5 linked regions of the Mus musculus genome follow. The protein of the gene in region 1 interacts with the protein of each later gene in a pairwise test. Links are inferred from orthologs where the notes say so. Each region holds a gene or a part of one and is shown in the gene's direction. Other genes may lie near its edges.

Region 1 (4,098 bases):
CTGTCTCAGCCTCCTGAGTTCTGGCCTTGTAGACTTGATTATCATGCCCAAAACCAGCTATGTTAATGTTATGTTCTTCCCTAGAAGAGTACAATTTGGTTATTTCAGGAAAGGAATCCTCTAGCCATAATAACTTTTATCTCAGGAATTTAGTTCACTTCAGGGAGGTCCACAAGGTGTATCCAGTAGCCAGTTTGTAAACAAAGTTTCATTGGATCATGGCTTTGTTTGTTGAATGCATTACCTGTGATTGTTCTGTTCAAGACCACAGTTGGCTAAGTCGTAGAGACTTTATGGCTCCATGAACCTAAAATATTCTCTGTCTAATTTTTTTTAGAGAAATGTTTGCTTATCTCTGGTGTAGACTATTTTTAGTATAGAGTGCAATGGTGAATCTCAAGAGCCTTTTTTATTTATTTTCTGATGAAGTTTGATAAGACGGGGGAATCTGTAGAGAATAAGAGATTTACAAATTATTACCAAGAAAAGGAAGTACATATAATGAGTTAATCTGCCTCTGCTGAAAAGAGGACTTAGTCAAATCAAGAGCATCTACCCCTTTGTATTAAGAAGAATTTGTTAATTCTTTGCCAAAACCTTGATTTTTCAAAAAGACAAGGCAACAACTAGGACTGGTGGGCACTAATCCTAGCAGCATATCTACCTATAGAGGCACATAAAATGAAGAGTTGTCACATATCACCAGGGCCTGCCCAGGAAGACACAGTACTAAAATCAAAGAGAAGCGATGAGGACAGTCCATCTGTGTTTACATTCTGCATAGTACAGCCTAGGCTGCACAAATATGTATGTGCACCACATGTGTGCTTGGTCTCTATGATGATGAGAAGAGTGTATTAGCTTTCCTGAAAGTGGAGTTACAAATGGTTGTGAGCCACCGTGTGAATGCTAGGAAATGGGTCTTCTGCAAGAATAGCAAGTGGTCTCAACAGCTGAGCCATCTCTCCAGCCCAAATCAGAACTTTTTAAAATGCCTACATAATGAATGGGTAATGTACTTAATGTATGAAGATGAATTCAGCATTTTGATGTGGTAGATAAGATAGGATTTTTTTATTTCTATTTTAAATCACCAAAACAGTGATTTTTTTAAAGAAGTAAATTTTTGCCACTTCATTAGAAAAATAAATGAAATTTTATAGAATTTATGTCTGATTTTTATACACTTGTTTATCATTTATCATTTTTCATCATATATAGTAGTATATCTTCTAGTCTTCCCAGTTTCCTTGATAAGAATTCTTTTGATCTTTGTGAATTATATATGAACAGATAGAATAGGAAAGACATCAGCATCTGTAAGGATCCAGTTATATGAAATAACAAAAACTAGCTTTCTTGTGATAGGACAACACTTGAAGTCACCACAGAAACATCTGTAAGTGAACAGTAACTACTAGGACTTAGGAGTTTATTTTACCTCATGTGCCTCTTGTGAGAATTAAGCCCAATTGAAAGAATCTTGACTTAAAGGTCTCTAAATACTTAATTATATATATTGTAGTATGTTACCCAATTTGAATCACTGAGTTCTCCACTTTTAACGTTACAGTTTACAACTACTGTTCTTAAAATCCTCTTTTTAGCATGTCCATGACTGCCTCCAGCTCACTCCATATTCAGTAAAACCCTTTTTACACCTGGATCTGAAGTCTATAGTATAGTTGTGTGGGTTTTTTTTTAATGTATCTTTAAACACTCCATTATATGTATTAAGGTTTGTTATCCACTTAACATTCTCTCTTGACAAGGTGACAGAAAACTAATGATCTTAGAATTAGAACCACTTTTACAGGTGTATCTGTAAGCACTTCAGCACTCTTGAAGGTATAGTCTATAATCCACATGTAAAGACCTATGATATTATTTTACAGTAGTTGCTATTAATACGTTTTGTACTGGACTGCATAGAAGGCCAATACCTGCTTGCTGCTAAGCCGATGCTTTTTTGTATAGATGGAGACATAAAAATGAATGATAGCCTAGAAGATATGTTTGATCGGACAACACATGAAGAGTATGAGTCCTGTTTGGCAGATAGCTTCTCCCAGGTACCAGATGAGGAAGAACTGCCTGACACCACAAAGAAAACAAACAGTAAGTCTTTTTTCTCTTTAATTGTATATTTTCTATTACACTCAATTCATTAAATCATCAGACTAATTAATAGAGGATTGATTAGAAATATTAACAAAAGTTTCATGTTTCTTATATAAATTTCTTTTTTAGTTATTAAAAATTTATGTATATATATATGTATATATATATATATATATGTATGTATATATGTTTTACCTGTGTGTATGTGTCTGTACACCACATATGTGCCTTGTGCCCATGGATGCCAGAAGATAGCATTGGATCTCCTGAAACTGGAGTTACAGAAGGTTGTGAATCACCATGTTGGTGCTGGGACTCAAACCTGAGTCCTCTAGAAGAGCAGCCAGTGCTCTTAACCACTTGAGCCTTCTCTCCCAGTTACTTTTTTATTTGAAATAATTTCAGACTAATGGAAGAATTAAAAAAAAAAAGTTCAGTGTGTACACCTATACTTCTTTTTTTTTTTTTCCTTTTTTTATTAGGTATTTAGCTCATTTACATTTCCAATGCTATACCAAAAGTCCCCCATACCCACCCACCCCCAATCCCCTACCCACCCACTCCCCCTTTTTGGCCCTGGCGTTCCCCTGTACTGGGGGATATAAAGTTTGCGTGTCCAATGGGCCTCTCTTTCCAGTGATGGCCGACTCAGGAGGCAGAGGCAGGTGGATTTCTGAGTTTGAGACCAGCCTGGTCTACAGAGTGAGTTCCAGGACAGCCAGGGCTACACAGAGAAACCCTGTCTGGGGGAGGTGGGGGGAGTCTTTCTTACCTAGAAGGACACACAAAGCTGGTTCCAGGATTTAGCCCAAGAGGCAGTGGTTGGAATGGGAAGTGGAATGGTCATATTTGACTTTTTCTTCTAATTTTGATGACCAGTCTACTACCCTAGATGTATTGTCCTAAGTGTATATTACATTACTCTATTTCTCCCTGTCCCTGATCTTAAAAAGCTTTACTATTTCACCTATTCTATGCATGCCTCTGCAATTTGATACAGAATACCAGGATGGCCTTATTTTAAATACAAATTGGAATATATCATGTTTTTACCTAGAAAGTCTTCAATGAAAAGATAATTGAATAATCAATAAACATGAGAAAATGTCCAGTATTATTGGGACATTCCCTGGGGCGACTAAAAACAACCAAATAACCGAATACTAGGGGGAGGAGTAACTGGGGTCCTATGTATGGTAAGAGGATTATACAAAACAGTTTCCCACGTTCGTCATCAGTTTTGTACCTAATATAGCATTTGATTATATATATATATGAAAACAAAAAAGTTATGCTTATTAGAGTTGTAGCACTGAAAGAATATAACAGTACTATTTATAATAACTTAAAATCAAAATCAGCCCACATATCCATCAACAAGCAAATACATCAAAGCAACGCAGATAAGCCTCCAACTTGCTAAGCTGGGAAAATAAAAATGATCTTAAAAAATTATAAAATTTTTAGTATGTAATTCAAGACAAGCTATGAGCTAAAGAAATCCATTAGTGTTGAGGGAGAGATGGGAGAGAAACACAAGAGGATATTCCTATATATTAGAAACAAATAACAGAAAAATCAGAAGTGATAGAAATTTTTTAATTTTGTCATCAATTTTCTGATGAAAACCTTTAATCTCTTAATTTTCAAACCATGACCTATCTTAAAGATGCATTACACAAATTAATAGGGCAAATAAGTGTAATATACTAAAAGATGTTTATTGATATCTCCTGCCAAATAATAACAGACATCTAGATAACTCCATTAATCTAAAATTCTTGGTTGCCAGGTGTGGTAGCACATGCCTTTGATCCCAGCACTGGGGAGGCAGAGATAGATGGATCTGAGTTTGAGGCCAGCCAAGGCCACATAGTGAGTCCCTGTCTCAAAATTAATTAATCAATCAATTAAATATTTCCTGAAATATAATTTTTAGTTTAATGACTCTAAGGTAAGATAAGCATCACCTTTATG
Region 2 (4,898 bases), on another chromosome or scaffold:
AGTATGATTGGAATATAGCTCAACAGATTCACTCTCAGCATCTCTTAAGTGAAGGATAAATCTACATTTACACAGAAGCCTCTAAACAACTTTCATTGGCAATAGCCTAAAACTATGAAGTACTTAAATCTTCAGTGAGTGAATGGTTTAACTACATATATATTAATACTGCTGAATATTATGCAGCAACATAAGATCAAACTACATATACGTATCTAGCAACCTGGACAGATCTCAGTGACTGTGACTAAACAAAACCAACCTTCGGCCAGCACATATAGTAGGGTTCCACAAATGACACGTTATACAGGTGAAAAACAGATTAGTTAAGGAGTACAGTAAGGAGATTTCTATGGGCAGAGATCATGTCCTGCTTGATTGGTGGCCACAGTAGCTACACACTCAGTGGCAGTAGAACAGCTATGCCACTGCCAGGCTCCCAACTTCGCTGCTCTATTTCCCCTTCTTCAGAGAGGAAACTGAAGGAGTGGCTTATGCTCCGTCAGCACGAGGCTGAAGAATTGTCTGGTTCTGTCCTTCCTGTTTTACTTTGTCCTAATGAAAAGAAACCAAAACCAAGAGAGTATAGATGAATGGAAAGGGTGATATTTGCACAGGGAAGCTGTCTCTAGGGCTTTCCCTCTTCTGGCATCCACCAGTCTGGGGTCCAAGCAGGTCCAGGGCTGCAGTCTTGGAATTCCTCATCATTTTGATATCTCTGGATTCAAAGTAGGGAGGTGTGATCTCAGTTCCTGCTTCTGGTCCCATTTTGTACCTGCCATATACTGGTTTTGAGTTCCTGTTTTATTTCCCAGTGATTCTGTTCAGCCATTTTCTCTCATAGAAGTTACAGCATAGCCCTGTCACTTATTATTCAGCCTCTTTGTGGCCTTGGTTTTCTTACTTGTGAATAGCACCTGTTTCATAGAGGATATGGTGATATGATAGGAGACACTATTCACGGTTACTCAGGTCTCAACTGTTGCTTGTCTCTCAAAGGGCATATGGCTCTTCTGTTATCACTATGACCTGCAGTGCTTAGCGCCGTGCCTGCTCACAGTTCTTTGAGGTGCTTGCTTTGGGTAGGATGGCTTGTTGGACTAGAGAATGGAACCACAGAAGAACCCTGCACCCTGTGTTGCCTCATGCTTCTCTGTTGCTATTATCATCATGACAAACACAATTACAAGACAGTAGTAGTTTAAGCTAAATATAGCAGGAATACCATGAAGAATCCGTGACTCTCCTGTTACAGGATTAGCTGGGATTAAATTGAAGAATTACAGTTAAACTCTAGTCTGGTTTACACTGCTCCATTCATTGAAGCCTTTACTATGCTGTTACTTTTATCAAGAACAAAGATAATAAATGGCTACATAGAGCTTCCCTTCAGGGGCTCACAGGTCCTTTCTGAAGCTTATCAAGCTTTTCAAAAATTTCTGTGTATACCCAAATGGAGACTCACTCAGACACAAATTGTCACTAACACGTGAAATGGTTTTGGGAGCTTCTAGAAGTCATAATAGATCCAGACTGCTGTGCTGCAGAGCTCTTAACATGAAAAGTCAGGAGTGACCCTGGCAGCTGGGTGACGCATGTGGGAACAGTGGGAGTGACCCTGGCTGGGAAACAGGAGGCCTGGATATTGTTTCTCTTCTCTGTATCCTGCTCGGCATCACAGGACTCTGAACTCTCAAGCTTGTACAATGGCCTTCCCAGGACGGGCACGCCCGTGCACTATCCCAGAGAATGAAGAAATCCCCCAAACAGCCCTTAACAGCGTCCTTGAAGCTAATGGGAATGAAGACGAGAGGGCTGTGTCAAACCTGCAGCGCAGGCACAGTGACGTAAAGGTCTACAAGGAATTCTGTGATTTTTATGCGAAATTGTGAGTCTCTTCCCTCCTAAAATACAGGCTTTCAAGTCTCCAGATCTTCAGTTCTGCATTTCCTAGCCATTTAAGCCAGCTAGTGTGTTTTAATTTAGCAGGGCTTTTCCAGGGTGTACGGAGGGCTGGGGGTGGTTCTCAGATTGCCTTGTCTTATAAACTTCCACCAGAGGACATACTAGATGTCAAGGAAAATGCCACCTTCCTGGGAAGAATAGACAGCGCTCATCTTTCTAATAATGGTACATTTTCACTGTGTTATCCATAAGAGAAGTTGGCACTTGTGTTGTCAGGATCTATAGCAGGAAAAATATACTCTGAGAGTTCCCAAATATGAAACTAAAAATTTAATCGATAAACACTTTGTTGGGGATTTATCCCATAATCAATATTTGAGGTGGTTAATAAACTCTCAAGATATTTGATAACAGAATTTTATATATTGTATTTTAAGAGTAGGAAATTTGTTTCACATGTGGAGATAAATGAGATGTAAAAATTGGAAGGTTTGATTGTGGTTTCCTATGTTAGCCGAGTTATGGAGGTGGGTGTGTAACATCAGTCCTGGTTGGCTTTTGTAGACATGTATTCTCTCCGCTCCCATGTTTTCTTTGTCATCAACACTTTTAGTGAAAAAACATTTTCTGGAAAATTAAGCAATTAGGTATAACCAATCTAATGACTTATCTCTTTAAAAATAGCTTCTTCATACATTGTTAAATACTGTCAAGTATAAAAAAAATGTGAACAATACAGGAGAGTCAGGCAAGAGAGAAGCTGAGTATGTAATCCCAACACTTGGGAGGTGTGGAGGGTCAGGAATTTGAGATCAGCCTTGGCTACATGAGACCCAGTCTCAAAGAAAGAAAAAAGAGCACCAACTGCCAGCCAACAAGGTGAGAGGGAGGGGAAGCCTGAGCTCAGTTGGGAGGCACGCGGTCGCTGTTTTCTGTCCCTGCTTTGGTCACTAAGGGGAGTTCATATATATGAATATGTGTGTAAAACATTCATCTACCTACGCACTTGGCCAAGTCTACTTGAGTTTTCAAACATAATTAAGTCTGGAATGTAGCTGTAGTGAATATAAACAGGTCAGTGCTAATAGCATTTTTATCAGCACCATTTTAAAAAAGATTGAAATCCAATACTTCTTGTATGAGAAATATGTATTTATTCGATTAAAAGTGACATATTACATGCTAGTAATACAGAGGAAAAAGTAAACTTTTGCACATTTTTCTTGATGCAGCTCCCTCCTTCCAATCTGCTTCTGCTCTTGGCACAGAGATATGGCTGAGAGGGTACTTCAGAACTTCCAGAGATTCAGTCACCCCAGACCTTGAGAATCATTGAGTTAAGTGGGAGTAAAGCAAGACATTCCAGAATGTTCTTCAGCTTTTCGGGGAGGTCCATTAAGTTTGCTGAGGAGTGATATCATTGGAGAGAATTTAGAATTATAATGGTGCTGTGTCTTTTAGTAGCACCTTCTGCTTTCCAGAGGGGATTATATTTTTTTATTATTTCATCCTCAAAACAGCTTCTGATAATTCCTGAGCGGATGTGGGCTAGCGTCTTTCTCCACTCAGCCACTCTTTCTGTAAGAAAAGAGGGTGCACAGATCCCTTCAGAGTTTTATTAAAGACGTTGCTGTTCGTCTAGATCCTCTCTCCTCACAATAATTCTGAAAAGACAAAGTGGAAGTCTCTATACACAGTGCTTAGGCCAGGTTCGTCAGAAGTAAGGCTGCCTCTTTTCACGTTTTAAAAGTGTTATTTTGGGGCGGGGGCGGAGGGGAGAGTGTCATACACTATGAAGGTCAAAGATAACTTGCTGGAGTCAGTTTTTCTTCTATGTGAATTCCAGGGATCAAACCCACATCTTCAGGCTTGGCAGCAAGCACTGTCACCAGCTTTGCTTTCTCTCGGGCCCAATCTTTTCCCTTCTCTTCAGTGACACTCCTATCTTAATTGAGCTTATGAATTAAAACAGACTTTTGATTGATCTGGAATGGTGAATGTGGGGATTCAGCATAGTGTTACTGTGGCAAGGTTACAACACAGAATTGTCTTGAAACACTTGAGGAAGAAGACAGATGTAGAGCTGTCCTCCATTGGGGTGGACAAAGAATAAGTCTTGCTATGGAAATGCTAACCTTGGAAAGAGCTAAGAGCAAGGCCGCTGGTTAAAGTGTTTGTGAAGTGAGAGGCTCTCCACGCCATCTGTCCCTTGGCAGTGGTGCCGGCAGACTGATGAGATATTTGAAAGGTCAGAAGCTATGCCAGGAGCAGACTGCTTTTGTAGAGGTAGAACTCCACCATAGAATCAGCCTCTGGAAACAAAAAAACAAGCCAAAACAAACAAACAAAAGGCTTGGTCAGTGACTGTTCAGCATATGGAACCTTCTCCATTTCTAGAGCTTTCAGAAACAAAATAGCTATTCATGTGAAATCCTCACCTAAGTCTGCTTCAGCTGCTGCCTGGCTCCTGAAGCGCCAGTGGCTAGAGAAAACAATTATTCGTGATCACATCCTGTGTTTTGAGGTAGAGTGGGATTGCTTGTGAGGGAACTGTCAGAGTCACTCAATGCTAGTTAATGCCTGCTTTTATTTTCCTGGCCTGTAAAACATGATTGTGTCCCTACCATGAACTGCCAAGAGTTTGCCGAAAGGCTGTGATCTGTGATGGAGATGATTCCTTGTAAGCAGAGAGCCTGGATTCTACCCCTGTGTCATTCATTCATGAGTAGCTAGTGCCATGATGTTGAGTTAACTGTTCACCTCTGAACCTGTTTCTCTATCTACAAAGTGATTTTTTTTTTTAAAGATTTATTTATTCATTATATGTAAATACACTGTAGCTGTCTTCAGACACACCAGAAGAGGGAGTCATATCTTGTTATGGATGGTTGTGAGCCACCATGTGGTTGCTGGGATTCGAACTCTGGACCTTCAGAAGAGCAGTCGGGTGCTCTTACCCACTGAGCCATCTCACCAGCCCCCAAAGTGATTTT
Region 3 (4,098 bases), on another chromosome or scaffold:
TGAACTGTGACTTTTCTAACCCTGTAGGGAACTTCCCCATGATTAGCGATGATCTGGTCAATTCCTACCATCTTCTGCTGTGCGCATTAGATTTAGTCTATGGAAATGCCCTTCAGTGTTCTAACCGTAAAGAACTTGTGAACCCTAATTTTAAAGGTAAGTTTATTGAAAGCCCGTGTTTCTGCATGGTTTTTACTCGTGGAAACTGTATCCCCAGATGCAGGCTTGCTAGCCTCAGAGGACATGAGTATTGGAGAAATTCTGCCACCTGAGTCGTATGAGTGCTTATACTGAAGTCAGCATCTCCAGACATTTTTTAATGTTTCACTTTATTTTATGTGTATGGGTGTTTTGTCTGCATGTATGTTTGTGTACCACATGTGTGCCTGCTGTTCCCACAGGCCAGAAGGAGAGTGTTAAATCCTGTGTAACCGGGCTTATAGATGGCCGTGAGCCATGGGTGCTGGGAATTGAGCCTAGGTCCTCTGAAAGAGTAAGCTGTGCTCTTAACTAGTGAGTCATCTCTCCAGTGCCCACCCTACCCCCACCTCTAAAAACGAAAAGCAAATATAACCGAATTTAGTTTTAAATGATAACTTTGGCGGTTTTTGAAAAATATATAGCAAAAGCCATGGTAGTATTTCTTGCTGTTGGCACATTTGGTGCTTAACGCACCCCAAGTAGCAGCAAAGAGTTGGCTAAAAGAACGGCATCTCACTTCTTTTGCTACAGAAAAATAAAATGTTGAAACAAGAACCTAGCTCTCTGGGTGACTGGTATGAGAGTCATACTCATCTTGGTGGTACGTGTAATGTGCTTTAGACTATGTAATTTCTATAAGCCATATACATAAATACTGAGGATGTATAGACTAGTCTATATTGCTGATTCTGCATGAAAAACACCGTGGAAGAATTCTGGCCGTCAGCTTGGGCATGGTTTCAGTTAGAACTTCAACGTGCCCATCCGGGTTGGTTTTAAAATTAGTGGAGCTAGTTACTCCCAGTTCCCTGTGACTCGAGAGGTGTGAGACGTAGGCTTGAGATGGAGTTTGTGACAGACTTCTTGGCTGGCCCTGAGTTTGATTCTCAGTACTAACGAGAACAAACAAGACAGCAGAAAATCAAAGCAGAAAAAGAAAGTTGTAGATGTCACCGAAGAGTTTTTGGCTATGCATGTTCATCTAATTAAGATGGTGCAAATGGTCCAAGATTCCAAAGACTAAACTCTAAATCTTGGTCCAAGCATTTTCAACTAGGAGCACCTGACCTTTGCCCCTTGCTGTGCGCCCCATTGTCTTCACTTTATTCTCTCACCTTTTGTTCTGGGGACTGGACACAGGGTGCCCTGGTCCTGTGCTGCCTCTGCTGCTTCTGTCTGATATTGTTATTTGTTCTGTTTTTACCTCCTTTAATTTTCTTTGATTGTTTTATGTTCTTATGAAAGAGAACACTATAAATTGACTCTTAGAGAGTAAACAGGTTGTCGGGCTTGGAAGCAGGTGTCTTCACCTGATGAGCCATCTCAGCATTCAGAAATGGGTAATGTCTGTCTGTCTGTTTGCTTGTTTGTTTGTTTGTTTGTTTGTTTGAGACAGGGTTTCTGTAGCTCTGGCTGTCCTGGAACTCAATGTGTAGACAAGGCTGGCCTTGAACTCACAGAGATCCACCTTCCCCTGTTCCTGAGTGCTAGGATTAATGGTGTGAGCCACCTCACCTGGCAGAACTGTATAATTTTTTAAGTGTTGTTTTTTTTGTTTTGTTTTGTTTTTTAATTTGAACGTAAGGCTCATTTGCAGAACAGAGTTCTGATGTTTTTCAGATATTCCCCCAAGCTTTTATTTTTCCAACAGCCTTTAGTCACATTACTAATTCAATTGATAATTTATATAGTTCTTTCTCTATGTGAGGCAGGATGTTACAGCTCAGTCGGTCCTCCTGAGCATGGGTTACAGGTTGAGGAAGCGTGTCCCTTTCTGTTTGTCCTGGGGATGTTGCATATCCATCTCTGACTTCATCTCTCTTCATCTTTTGAGGCATATGTAAATTAGTTACACATGCCCACCATGTGCTGAGCAGACTAACATTTCTGTTTCCGTGTACTGTATGTTGGCGAGTTGGTGCTGACCATTGTCTCCATCTTGTGATTTTATACACCACAGGCCTGTCCGAGGACTGTCACCCCAAGGACTCTAAAGCGTCCTCCGACCCGCCGTGTGTCATTGAGAAGCTGTGCTCCTTACACGACGGTCTAGTGTTGGAGGCCAAGGGGATAAAGGAACACTTCTGGAAACCCTATATTAGGAAACTGTTTGAGAAAAAGGTTCGTAAGTAATGACATACGGACGTTTTCTGGGTAAAGACTCGGTCGCACGTAACCCAAGAACCTTTCTTTTCATCGTAGCTTCTCAAGGGGAAGGAAGAAAATCTTACTGGCTTCCTGGAGCCCGGAAACTTTGGAGAGAGTTTGTGAGTACTTACGCTGCACACCTGCTAGGATGGTTTGGTTGCTTGCTTGCTTTCTGGGGTTTTTTTTTTGTTTTTGTTTGTTTGGTTTTGGTTTTGGTTTTTGGTTTTTTGGTTTTTTGGTTTTGTTTTGTTTTTTGGTTTTTGTTTTTGTTTTGAGGCAGGGTTTCTATTTGTAGCCTTGGCTATTCTGGAATTTGTTCTGTAGACCAGGCTGGCCTCCAACTCAGAGATTCCCCCTGCCTCTGCCTCCCCATGCCCGGCTTGCTCTGATACTTTAACTTAGCTGTGAGGAGACCTCGCGCTCAGTGTTTGTACTGTTTGTACGTTGGATGGTTTTAATGCTTTATGGTAGAACTCATAGAAGCCATCACAGTTCTGGAAACTTCTACTATAACCATATGCCATATGTCTTTATTCTCAGTGAAACTTGTTTTTGTTCTGTTCAAAGTTTTATTACTCAAGATTTTAGACTCTAAATTTTGAAATTAAGAAATGCTTTTGTGGGCTAGAGGGATGGCTCAGTGGTTAAGAGCACTGACTGCTCTTCCAGGGGTCCTGAGTTCAATTCCCAGCAACCACATGGTGGCTCACAACCATCTGTAATGGGATCTGATGCCCTCTTCTGGGGTCTCTGAAGACAGCAACAGTGTACTCATATACATAAAGTAAATAAATAAATATTTTTTAATATAAAAAAAGAGAAGAAAGAAATGCTTTTGTGCCTGGCCATCAGAGCATGGGGCTGACATCTCAGCACTTAGGACCTGAGGCAAGGTGATTGTAAGTTGGGGGCTACTTTGTCTCAAAAAAAAAAATGAAGTTAAGGAAAAAAGGACTGGTATTTGGATCTTTAGAGGTGACAGTGTGGCAATACCAGGTCTTTAGAGGTGCCAAGAACAGCTGAGGAAATGTTCCTGCATGGTCATATGCCAGTTGTATGTCACCCAGCATCACAACTTTAGTTTAGCGTAATTTAGTATAATTTAGTTTATCATTATTTATTATTATTATTAGCTTATTGAAGGCAGGTTTGTTCAGAGTTCCTACCTTGACACACTGTTAAAAAAGTATATTCAGTGTGTACTGGACACTTAGATCAAAGCGAGTTGCAACTTCTCTTGGGTTTTTGAAATGAGCAATTATTCTACAGAAATAAATGACCTTGAGAAATTTGCGAGATGCTGTAGTGAGTAAAACCCTGGTGTGGAACATGAGCTGAAATGGCGGTCCTGTTTCCCCATAGTAAGGCCGTTAATAAGGCATATGAAGAATACGTGTTAGCCGCTGGGAATCTGGATGAGCGCGTATTCCTTGGTGAGGATGCTGAGGAGGAAGTTGGGACTCTGTCTCGGTGTCTAAGTGCTGCCTCAGGTACAGAGAGTGCTGAACGGACGCAGATGAGAGACATCTTGCAGCAGCATCTTGACAAGGTGAGTTAAGCCCAGAGGGAAACAGGAGCCTCTTGTGATGCACTGACCACGTTTCAAAGCCCCGAGGGAGATGCGGCTGCGGCAAGAGGAAACTGGCTTCTGTTGTCTCCTCATAATCCTGTGTGTGTGTGTGTGTGTGTGTGTGTGTGTGTGTTTTAAATGTTTAGAAGAAAAGTCAAGTAGATCCAACTTTCAAAGGT
Region 4 (4,098 bases), on another chromosome or scaffold:
AGAATAATGAGAATCAGGAAAATAATGTTCAGCAGCTCCTTTGAGGAGAGAGAGAGAGAGAGAGAGAGAGAGAGAGGACTTCGTGTTATAATCTTCTAAATTAGTGGTAAGGAAAGGTAATGGAAGGTCTGTTCCAACAGCCTGTTCCCTAACAGGCGGTGCTGGAAGGGTGTGTTTGATAGGATTGTGCTCCTACCCATCACTGTTCCACACTGGGCTCTTCCTCCATCCTTCTGGTGAGGGTAATAATCAGGAGTTCAAGACCAGCCTTGAGACATGACACCTCGTCTCAAAAACAAGCAAAGAGAGCGAGGTGACAACATTTCCAGGTCCAGGCCACTGTTGTTGTCCTCAGAGAATTAGTCCTGTCAAATAACTTAGGCTACACCTGACTCTGTGGCTCACCTTGTGGCTTTACCTTGATGACTGAGCAGGAAGGAGCACTTCCTGGTTACATGAGCCCAGAGCAGTTTTTGTGGTTTTTGGGTTTTTTTTTCTTAAGATTTATTTATTTATTGTATGTAAGTATACTGTAGCTATATTCAGACCCTCCAGAAGAGGGCATCAGATCTCATTACGAATGGTTGTGAGCCACCATGTGGTCGCTGGGAATTGAACTGAGGACCTTTGGAAGAGCAGAAGTCAGTGCTTTTACCTGCTGAGCCATCTCTCCAGCCCCCAGAGCAGTTTTAAAGATAACTCATTTGGTAAAGCGCTGAGACCCTGAGTGTGATTCTCCAGATCCACTAAGGAAGCTGAGTGTGTGGTGCCATGCCTTTGTAAAGTACAGCACCAAGGCAGCAGAAACAAGAAGATGCTTGGGGCTCATCTGAGAATCCAGGCTAATGAGAGAACCTATTTGAAAACAAACTGGTCAGTTTCTGAGGATTGGCACCCAAGGGTGACCTCTGGCATCCACAGATATACATAAACACCAATAAAGAAACAGACAAAAAGTTATTCTCTAAGTCGCCAGGCTCTGACTAACCCTGAGGCATGGCGGGATCTCATAGTCATGAGCAGTTTTGGCAAGACTGTAGTAAGTCTCACAGGAAGAGCAAGTACAGAGTCACTGCCTGAGATGGGGCTTATGAGCGTGGTGAACCTTGAAAAAGCAGAGTATTAAGACATAGAAATGAAAGTCCTGAGATTAATCTTTTAGGAATGTGAAATATACATGTAAATAAAATATCTCAATGGAAACGAGGGAGGAGGAGCGGGGGCGGAGCTCTTCTCCTGTAATCCCAGCACTTGCCAGGTAGAGACAGGAGAAGGGATCCAAGTCATACTCCAACACTGTCTCAGCACAGAGAGAGAGAGACAGAGAGAGAACGCGTAGGTTATGTCATCTACTCAATCTACTTTCATTTCTACGTCTTAATACTCTTCCAAAGAAAGAATGTCCCATGTCTTCCCACCAGGGTTTAATCAGGATTATGGGAAACTACTTAAAAGCCTTCCATTTTCCAGAGTTCATTATAACTCTGGGGAGATCCTCATAAAGGTAAAGATATCCCCAGGCAACTCTGGAATGAAGATACTTACCTAAATCTCAGAAGAGGAGGGAAGTCTGGCTCTCCAGCAAAGGCTGCGGAGCAGCGACACTCATTCCTTCTTTCCTGTAGGCCACAAGAAGGTTGCCAAAGTTGTCCATAGTCTCAAAAATATCTATGAAGAGACGTTGTAGGGAAGGCTGGAAGACTGCCCTGAAGATCTGGTCATAGCTCCTACCTGAGTAGATTGGCCTGTACTGAACTGTCAGCATGAGTAAATTGAAAAGAAGTGGCAAGGCCACTGTGCAAGCATGTTACCGCAATAGGAGAAGGGACGGAATGAGAAGCACAAAAAGACAGACACGGGAGCCAGGTGTGGGCAGACATGCTCGCAGTCCTAGCTCGTGCAGGTGAAAGCAGGCAGAGCAGACTTCAAGGCATCTTTGGCTATATGAATAGTTCAGGAGCAACCTGGGCTACATGCGACCATGTCTCAAAAAGCAAACAAACCCAAAACTATAACAAACCAAAATAGGAAAACAAACAAACAAACAAACAAACAAACAAAACCACCAAACTTTAAAACTCATGTGGAACTTTAGTACCCCAAAAAGCCAAGACAAACTTGAAAAAGATCAGCGCTGGAGGCTTTACATTTTATTTCAATATAGTAGAATAGTACACAGCTTCAATAATCAAAAAAGCATGGTATTGACCCAGACATGTATAAACTGGGGAAACAAAATGGAGAGAAATAAGCTATATTTTTTTTCAAGTGATCATTGATAGTGTACCAAGACCATATAGTGGGTAAAGAGTAGAAAGAAATGATGTTGGGAAAACAAAATATCCTTATGCAGAAGAATGAAGATATTACACAATATTAAAAAATTAATTCAGGGCCAGTGAGGTGGCTCAGGACTGCATCTTTTATCTTTGGCTGCCAAGTCTGGTAACTTGAGTTTGATGCTTAGGAAGAAGAGAGATGGATTCTAGATATCCTCTGACCGCTACCAAAATAAATAATCATAAATGCTCCTGGACCAGAGAGATGGGCAGCAGTTAATGTACTTGTTGCTTTTGCAGAGATCCAAGGTTTGATTCTGAGCACCCACATTAGACTGGCACCTTGTTTGGCCTCTGTCGCACTGCATGCATTTCATGTCTAAGCAGGCATCAAATGTATGCTACCATACCTGGCAAAATAGCATGATTAAAAATGCTTATAGCTGACTGGTAAGGCAACTCAGCAAATGCCTGCTAAGTTCAGTCCCTAATACTTACAGTGTATGTGCGCGCGTGCAAGTTTGTATCTGTATTCCATGGCCTTGGGTATCTACGCAAGCTGTCTGTCACTGAGCTGGATCCGAGCCCCTGGGTGATTCTTGAAGAATCTTGAGGAATGTTGATAATCTGGGTTTTCCTGATAAGCAAGTTTCTCTTGTATTTTATAGATCTTGTATGCGGAATCCTATGGGAAACATTATAAAAATTGTGAAAGGAATAGGAGAGACTTTCTGCCAACACTATACCCAGTCCACAGATAAACAGCCAGGATCTCACATAGGTAAGAAGAGAAGAATAAAAGCGGCACAGCATTAAGTATGGAGACTGTCCCCACAGATAGCATTAAGTGTGGAGAAAGAATGTCCCCACAGTCAGGTTCCCATCTCTTGCAGTTAATGTACCCGCTTACTGTTGAGTTTGCCATCACCATTTCAATAGCATATGCTCTCCTGTGTTTTCTATAGACTTTGCTGTAAACAGACTAAAACTGGCAGAAATTTTGTATTACAAAATACTGGAGACTATAATGGTCCAGGAAACACGACGGCTTCATGGAATGGACATGTCGGTAAGTAACTCTATCCTCCTAGCCAGCTTTCAGTCCTACCAGGGAAGTAAGAGGTTTCTTTTTGTTAGTTTGTTTTCACTTTCTAAAAAAGTAATAATTTTTATTCTATACAATGTAAGCAATAAAAATTTACATAATTTCTTAGTTTTTAGTTGAAGAAAAAGATTATAAGGGAGAATATGAAAATGAGATTTCTACTCTACTAGAAAATTTACACTCACTTGTATTTACAACCATCAACTCTACACTCATTTTACCTAGAGAGTCTAAAAGCTTCTTTGAGAACACAGTTATACCATAGTTCTGCAACAGTTGTGAAAGCAGTTGTGGTCCCAGAACATAGGAGCACACACTTGCACGTAGCTGTCAGCGTGTAAAAACCTCATCTCTGCCTCCATCAGAGGAGAATGAGTCACTGCCACCTCTGCGTGGACAGTCTCCTCTCCAGTTCTTACACAGAGGCTGAACTTGGCAGGAATAGAAATGGATTCAAGCAGCAGCTGTCCATGAGCTCCGAAAGAGGAACTGAATGTCAACTGTTAACCAGCTTTGTCCTTTCTAGTTTGACAACTTCTTGAGACCTTGAGACCTAGTTGGTTTCTTCTCCCTTAGTTCTCAGTGATGTCACCTGATTGTTTCACACCTTGACTGATGAGGTCACTTTGTCCAACTTCAGCCACCTGCTCTTCCTAAGACTTCATTTCATTATTACAAAGAAGTCATCATCTTTAACAAGCTGAACACATGTCT
Region 5 (4,098 bases), on another chromosome or scaffold:
AAGAAGGCATTCTACCTCTGGCCTATTTTCCAGCCTAAATTCAAAACTTTCTATATCCAAACATGATGCTAACCCATGTAATATATCATAGACAAAAAATGTAACTAAAATGTTGATAAAATTATAGTCCACCATGTGTATAAGTTATATTTGAAACATAAATGAACCATGTGCTTAAACTTTGGTTTTATCACCAATATATCTTAATATACATATAAGTGAATATTCAAAAAAAAATCAAAAGCCAAGATGCATGTTGGAGGAACACTTGAGGTCATTTATTTTCCTGGTTTTGTATGTGCATGCACACAGTATCAGCACTGTCGAGTAAGAACTCCAAATGGAGTAAAGGATCTCGCGCTGCCGAAGTTAATGCTCCTTAGCCCTGTCTGTCACAGAGGGAGGGCAACAGTGCTTCCTAGTCTTCTAATGGTTGCTCGGAGACTCACTGCTTCTGTCTGCTAACCTAGGCCTAGGCCTGGAAGCTAATCTAGACCTAGAATGTTTTCAGCCTCTGAGACTTACTGCTGAATATACTCACCCTTCCTTGTTCTTTCCAAACTCTAGATGGCTGGTTCAGAGTTGCTGTTTTGGCTCAAACCTTCCTCCAAGCTGTTTCAATTTGGCATCTCTGACTGAATTGCTCTATGTGGCCTCATACTAACTTTGGCAATGTGTTCTGATCTTCTGGCTCCTGCTCCTTTTCCAGCTTGTTCTGTCTTCACCCCTGACTACTTTCTCCATTCTCTCTCTCTCTCTCTCTCTCTCTGCATGGCTCCCTCCAGTAGCTTCTTTTTCCTCTCTCTTGAGAGTTAGGCGTATCCTATTCTGTCAACCTATCTCTGATTTGTTACTTTGTCTGCCACTCAATTAGACATCACTTTCAAACTTCCTTCTCCAAACTACCTTTACCTTCATTGTTTGGGATTAAAGGTGTGTATGAAGGCTGTCTGTATTCTGGTCAGCAGGGCTAAAGGTGTGTGGGAAGGGATGAGCCACACCACACTAGAAATCATTTTTTAACACAATCCCAGGTTCACAGTGTGGTCAGATATCCTGCAACAACAAAGCATGGTTTTCATATGTACTCAGTAAAGCCATACCTGCTGATGTTGTTATAATGCCATTTTCTTTTATCCAGGATTCACCTTTATTTGATCTCATTAAGCAGTCCAAGGATGGAGAAGGACCTGATAACCTTGAACCTGCTTGTCCTCTCAGCCTGCCTCTCCAGGGTAACCATACTGCAGCAGATATGTAAGTAAAGGCACCGTGCTTTCATTCAAACTGCAGAGATACTCTGGCCATAAGGGAAGCTCAAAGCGCTATATAGAAATTGTAGGACTGAAATTTTGCTTAAGATACTATTTTTTCTTTTAAGTGTTAGGAATCTAAGACACATGACCCAAGTAAGGTCAAATAAAGAAGTACAAAGCTACTGAATCACATGGTGTTGGTGTAGCGGGGAATTAATCGTTCATGACAAAGCTGATGCTGCTTTAGATAGGTCCGAATGATCAGATAGGACTTTAGCATGAGAATTGGAAAAGCAAGAGGAAATATCCCAAGAGTCCGAACTTACTTGTTTCTGAAACAGCCAGAAAGCAGGAGAGATTTTCAGAGAATATGTATCAGACCATTTGGGGAGAGGCACAGAGTAAGTGTGGAGTAATGGACTATTACACATCGCTAGTGTGGAGTGGTGATGCTGAGAGAAGAAACAGCTGACATTTAGTCAGGGTTCCCTGTATTTGGGGCATTTACATAGGTACGTCAGATTCACATTTTTCCCTAGAGTTCATACCAGCCTCGTAAGGTAGAAGATACTGTATCAGCACCAGTTACCTGTAAAGTAGCAATGAGGGAAACAAGGGAGCTTGCTTAAGATGCACATAAATGAACCCAAGTAGTCAGATCACAGTACATGCTCTCTTAGCCCTCTAGCTTTGTCCTTTCATAGAAACGTGCTCCATGTTTCTACCTGATTCAGTGAGGAAATACAGCATTCTGTGATAAACCATTTTCCTGTGATATCATTTCCATGGTAACTTCCACCCAAAGTATTTCTGACCCACAGAGACTGTGTATTCATGCATGAGTTTGTTTGTTAGGTAATATTTTCACATAAGTCAGCTTTATATGTTCCTGTAATTCAGGAAATGGTTATTTGTAAAGTGCTAGGTTAACAGTACCAGTTACTGATATGATTAGATGGCCTGGTCCTTTTCCCTTATAGGACTTTGCATCTCACAGGAAGGAAGCAGTGAACACATAGACTAGTATGAGTTTAGTTTAGAGGACTCATGCAACAGTGAAACCAATGAAATGAGAGGAGGGGAGACCCAGGAGATGACGTCATAGTTTGACTGGAGACCTGGAAGGCAACGTAATGCTGACCAGACAAAACTTTTCCTCTTTTGGGAAAATGCCTATATTATGGACTAGAAAGAAACCCAGGGTGGGTGGCTCACAGTCAGAGCAGTAAGTGTAAGGCTGACGCAGAAGCAGCACACTGGAGCTAGAGGCTCTAAATGCATAGATGTTATAAGGTAGTGGGAAACCATTCACACACAAATGCAACTGTGAATAATCTGTATTAAGAGACTATCTAGTTGCTATTTGAAATATGGGAGGGCTTGAGGGCTAGGAGATGTCAAGTCAAGAAAATGGAAAGAAAATTTCAAAGACTTTATAGTTTAAATAAGGGATGCAGGGACTGGAGAGATGGCTCAGTGGTTAAGAGCACTGACTGCTCTTCCAGAGGTCCTGAGTTCAATTCCCAGCAACCACATGGTGGCTCACAACCATGTATAATGGGATCTGATGCCCTCTTCTGTTGTGTCTGAGGATAGCTACAGTATATTCATATACACAAAATAAATAATTCTTTAAAATAAATAATAAGGGATATAGGTATCTTGGACTATCATAAACATTAAAGGTGGAAAAGAAGGGTCTGGAATGTATTTTGAGATAGAAATAGCAGGTTTTATATTGACTTGATTTATAGCACATTTGAGGAAGTGGACAAATTGAGAAATTTTTTTTAAATGTATTTATTTTTATTCTTTAATCCTTTTTTACAGTCCAGACTTCATCCTCTTCCTGGCCTGCTTCTCCCCCCTACCCCAACCACTCCCCACCCCATACATCCTTCACCACCCAACCTCCATCTCCAAGAGGATGTCCCTCACCCCCCATCCCACCAGGTCTCCCTGGGGCCTCCAGTGTCTTGAGTGTTAGGTGCATCTTCCCAGACTGAACCCAGACCAGGCAGTCCTCTGCTGTATATGTATCAGGGGCCTCATATCAGTTTGTGGCTCGTTGTCTGATGGATCTCAAGGATCCAGGTCAGTTGAGACTACTGGTCTATCCATGGGGCCACCCTCCTCCTTCTTCTAGCTTTCTCCTAATTCAACCACAGGGGTTCCTGGCTTCTGTCCATTGATTGGGTGCAAATATCTGCATCTGACTCTTTCAGCTGCTTGTTGGTCCCCTCAGAGGGCAGCCATGCTAGGCCCTTGTCTGCAAGCATACCACAGCATCAGTAACAGTGTCAGGGCCCAGTTTGGGTCGGTCACACTGGACCTCTTTTCTCTCATGCTCTTCTCCATTTTTGTCCCTGTAGTTCTTTCACATAGGAACAATTCTGAGTTAGAGCTTTTGTTTTTTTATTTATTTATTATTATTATTATTATTATTATTATTATTATTATTATTATTATTTTGGTTTTTCAAGACTGGGTTTCTCTGTATAGCCCTGGCTGTCCTGGAACTCACTTTGTAGACCAGGCTGGCCTCGAACTCAGAAATCTGCCTGCCTCTGCCTCCCGAGTGCTGGGATTAAAGGTGTGTGCCACCATGCCCGGCGAGTCAGAGCTTTTGACTGTGGAATGGCAACCCCATCCCTCCACTTGATGCCCTGTTTTTCTACTGGAGGTGGACTCTACGAGTTCTCTCTCCCCACTGTTGGACATTTCATCCAAGGTCCCTTTGAATCCTGAGAGTCTCTCACTTCCCAGGTCTCCGGTACACTCTAGAGGGTTCTCCTCCCTCCTCCTTCCCAGGGTTACCTGTTTCCGTTCTTTTTGCTGGCCC

The links.
Region 2: the proteins of Rbbp8 (region 1) and Lims1 interact in a two-hybrid assay, tested with the Homo sapiens proteins (2 studies listed by BioGRID and IntAct). The two-hybrid records come from large-scale screens. The link is inferred for Mus musculus from reciprocal best matches to the Homo sapiens genes RBBP8 and LIMS1.
Region 3: the proteins of Rbbp8 (region 1) and Rbl2 interact in binary tests that used the Homo sapiens proteins (3 or more experiments, as listed by UniProt). The link is inferred for Mus musculus from reciprocal best matches to the Homo sapiens genes RBBP8 and RBL2.
Region 4: the proteins of Rbbp8 (region 1) and Rbl1 interact in a two-hybrid assay, tested with the Homo sapiens proteins (2 studies listed by BioGRID and IntAct). The link is inferred for Mus musculus from reciprocal best matches to the Homo sapiens genes RBBP8 and RBL1.
Region 5: the proteins of Rbbp8 (region 1) and Rb1 interact in a two-hybrid assay, tested with the Homo sapiens proteins (2 studies listed by BioGRID). The link is inferred for Mus musculus from reciprocal best matches to the Homo sapiens genes RBBP8 and RB1.

Annotation. Positions count from the first base shown.
Region 1 is NC_000084.6:11,730,213-11,734,310, forward strand, and holds part of Rbbp8 (DNA endonuclease RBBP8), read left to right. Parts: intron 1-1,977; coding exon 1,978-2,118; intron 2,119-4,098. UniProt on the Homo sapiens protein: Endonuclease that cooperates with the MRE11-RAD50-NBN (MRN) complex in DNA-end resection, the first step of double-strand break (DSB) repair through the homologous recombination (HR) pathway.
Region 2 is NC_000076.6:58,392,713-58,397,610, forward strand, and holds the start of Lims1 (LIM and senescent cell antigen-like-containing domain protein 1), read left to right. Parts: upstream 1-1,660; 5' UTR 1,661-1,706; coding exon 1,707-1,888; intron 1,889-4,898. UniProt on the Homo sapiens protein: Within the IPP (ILK-PINCH-PARVIN) complex, binds to F-actin, promoting F-actin bundling, a process required to generate force for actin cytoskeleton reorganization and subsequent dynamic cell adhesion events such as cell spreading and migration.
Region 3 is NC_000074.6:91,083,272-91,087,369, forward strand, and holds part of Rbl2 (retinoblastoma-like protein 2), read left to right. Parts: intron 1-27; coding exon 28-156; intron 157-2,161; coding exon 2,162-2,322; intron 2,323-2,403; coding exon 2,404-2,468; intron 2,469-3,711; coding exon 3,712-3,898; intron 3,899-4,098. UniProt on the Homo sapiens protein: Key regulator of entry into cell division. Directly involved in heterochromatin formation by maintaining overall chromatin structure and, in particular, that of constitutive heterochromatin by stabilizing histone methylation.
Region 4 is NC_000068.7:157,187,185-157,191,282, reverse strand, and holds part of Rbl1 (retinoblastoma-like protein 1), read left to right. Parts: intron 1-2,947; coding exon 2,948-3,060; intron 3,061-3,244; coding exon 3,245-3,348; intron 3,349-4,098. UniProt on the Homo sapiens protein: Key regulator of entry into cell division. Directly involved in heterochromatin formation by maintaining overall chromatin structure and, in particular, that of constitutive heterochromatin by stabilizing histone methylation.
Region 5 is NC_000080.6:73,213,823-73,217,920, reverse strand, and holds part of Rb1 (retinoblastoma-associated protein), read left to right. Parts: intron 1-1,141; coding exon 1,142-1,257; intron 1,258-4,098. UniProt on the Homo sapiens protein: Tumor suppressor that is a key regulator of the G1/S transition of the cell cycle. The hypophosphorylated form binds transcription regulators of the E2F family, preventing transcription of E2F-responsive genes.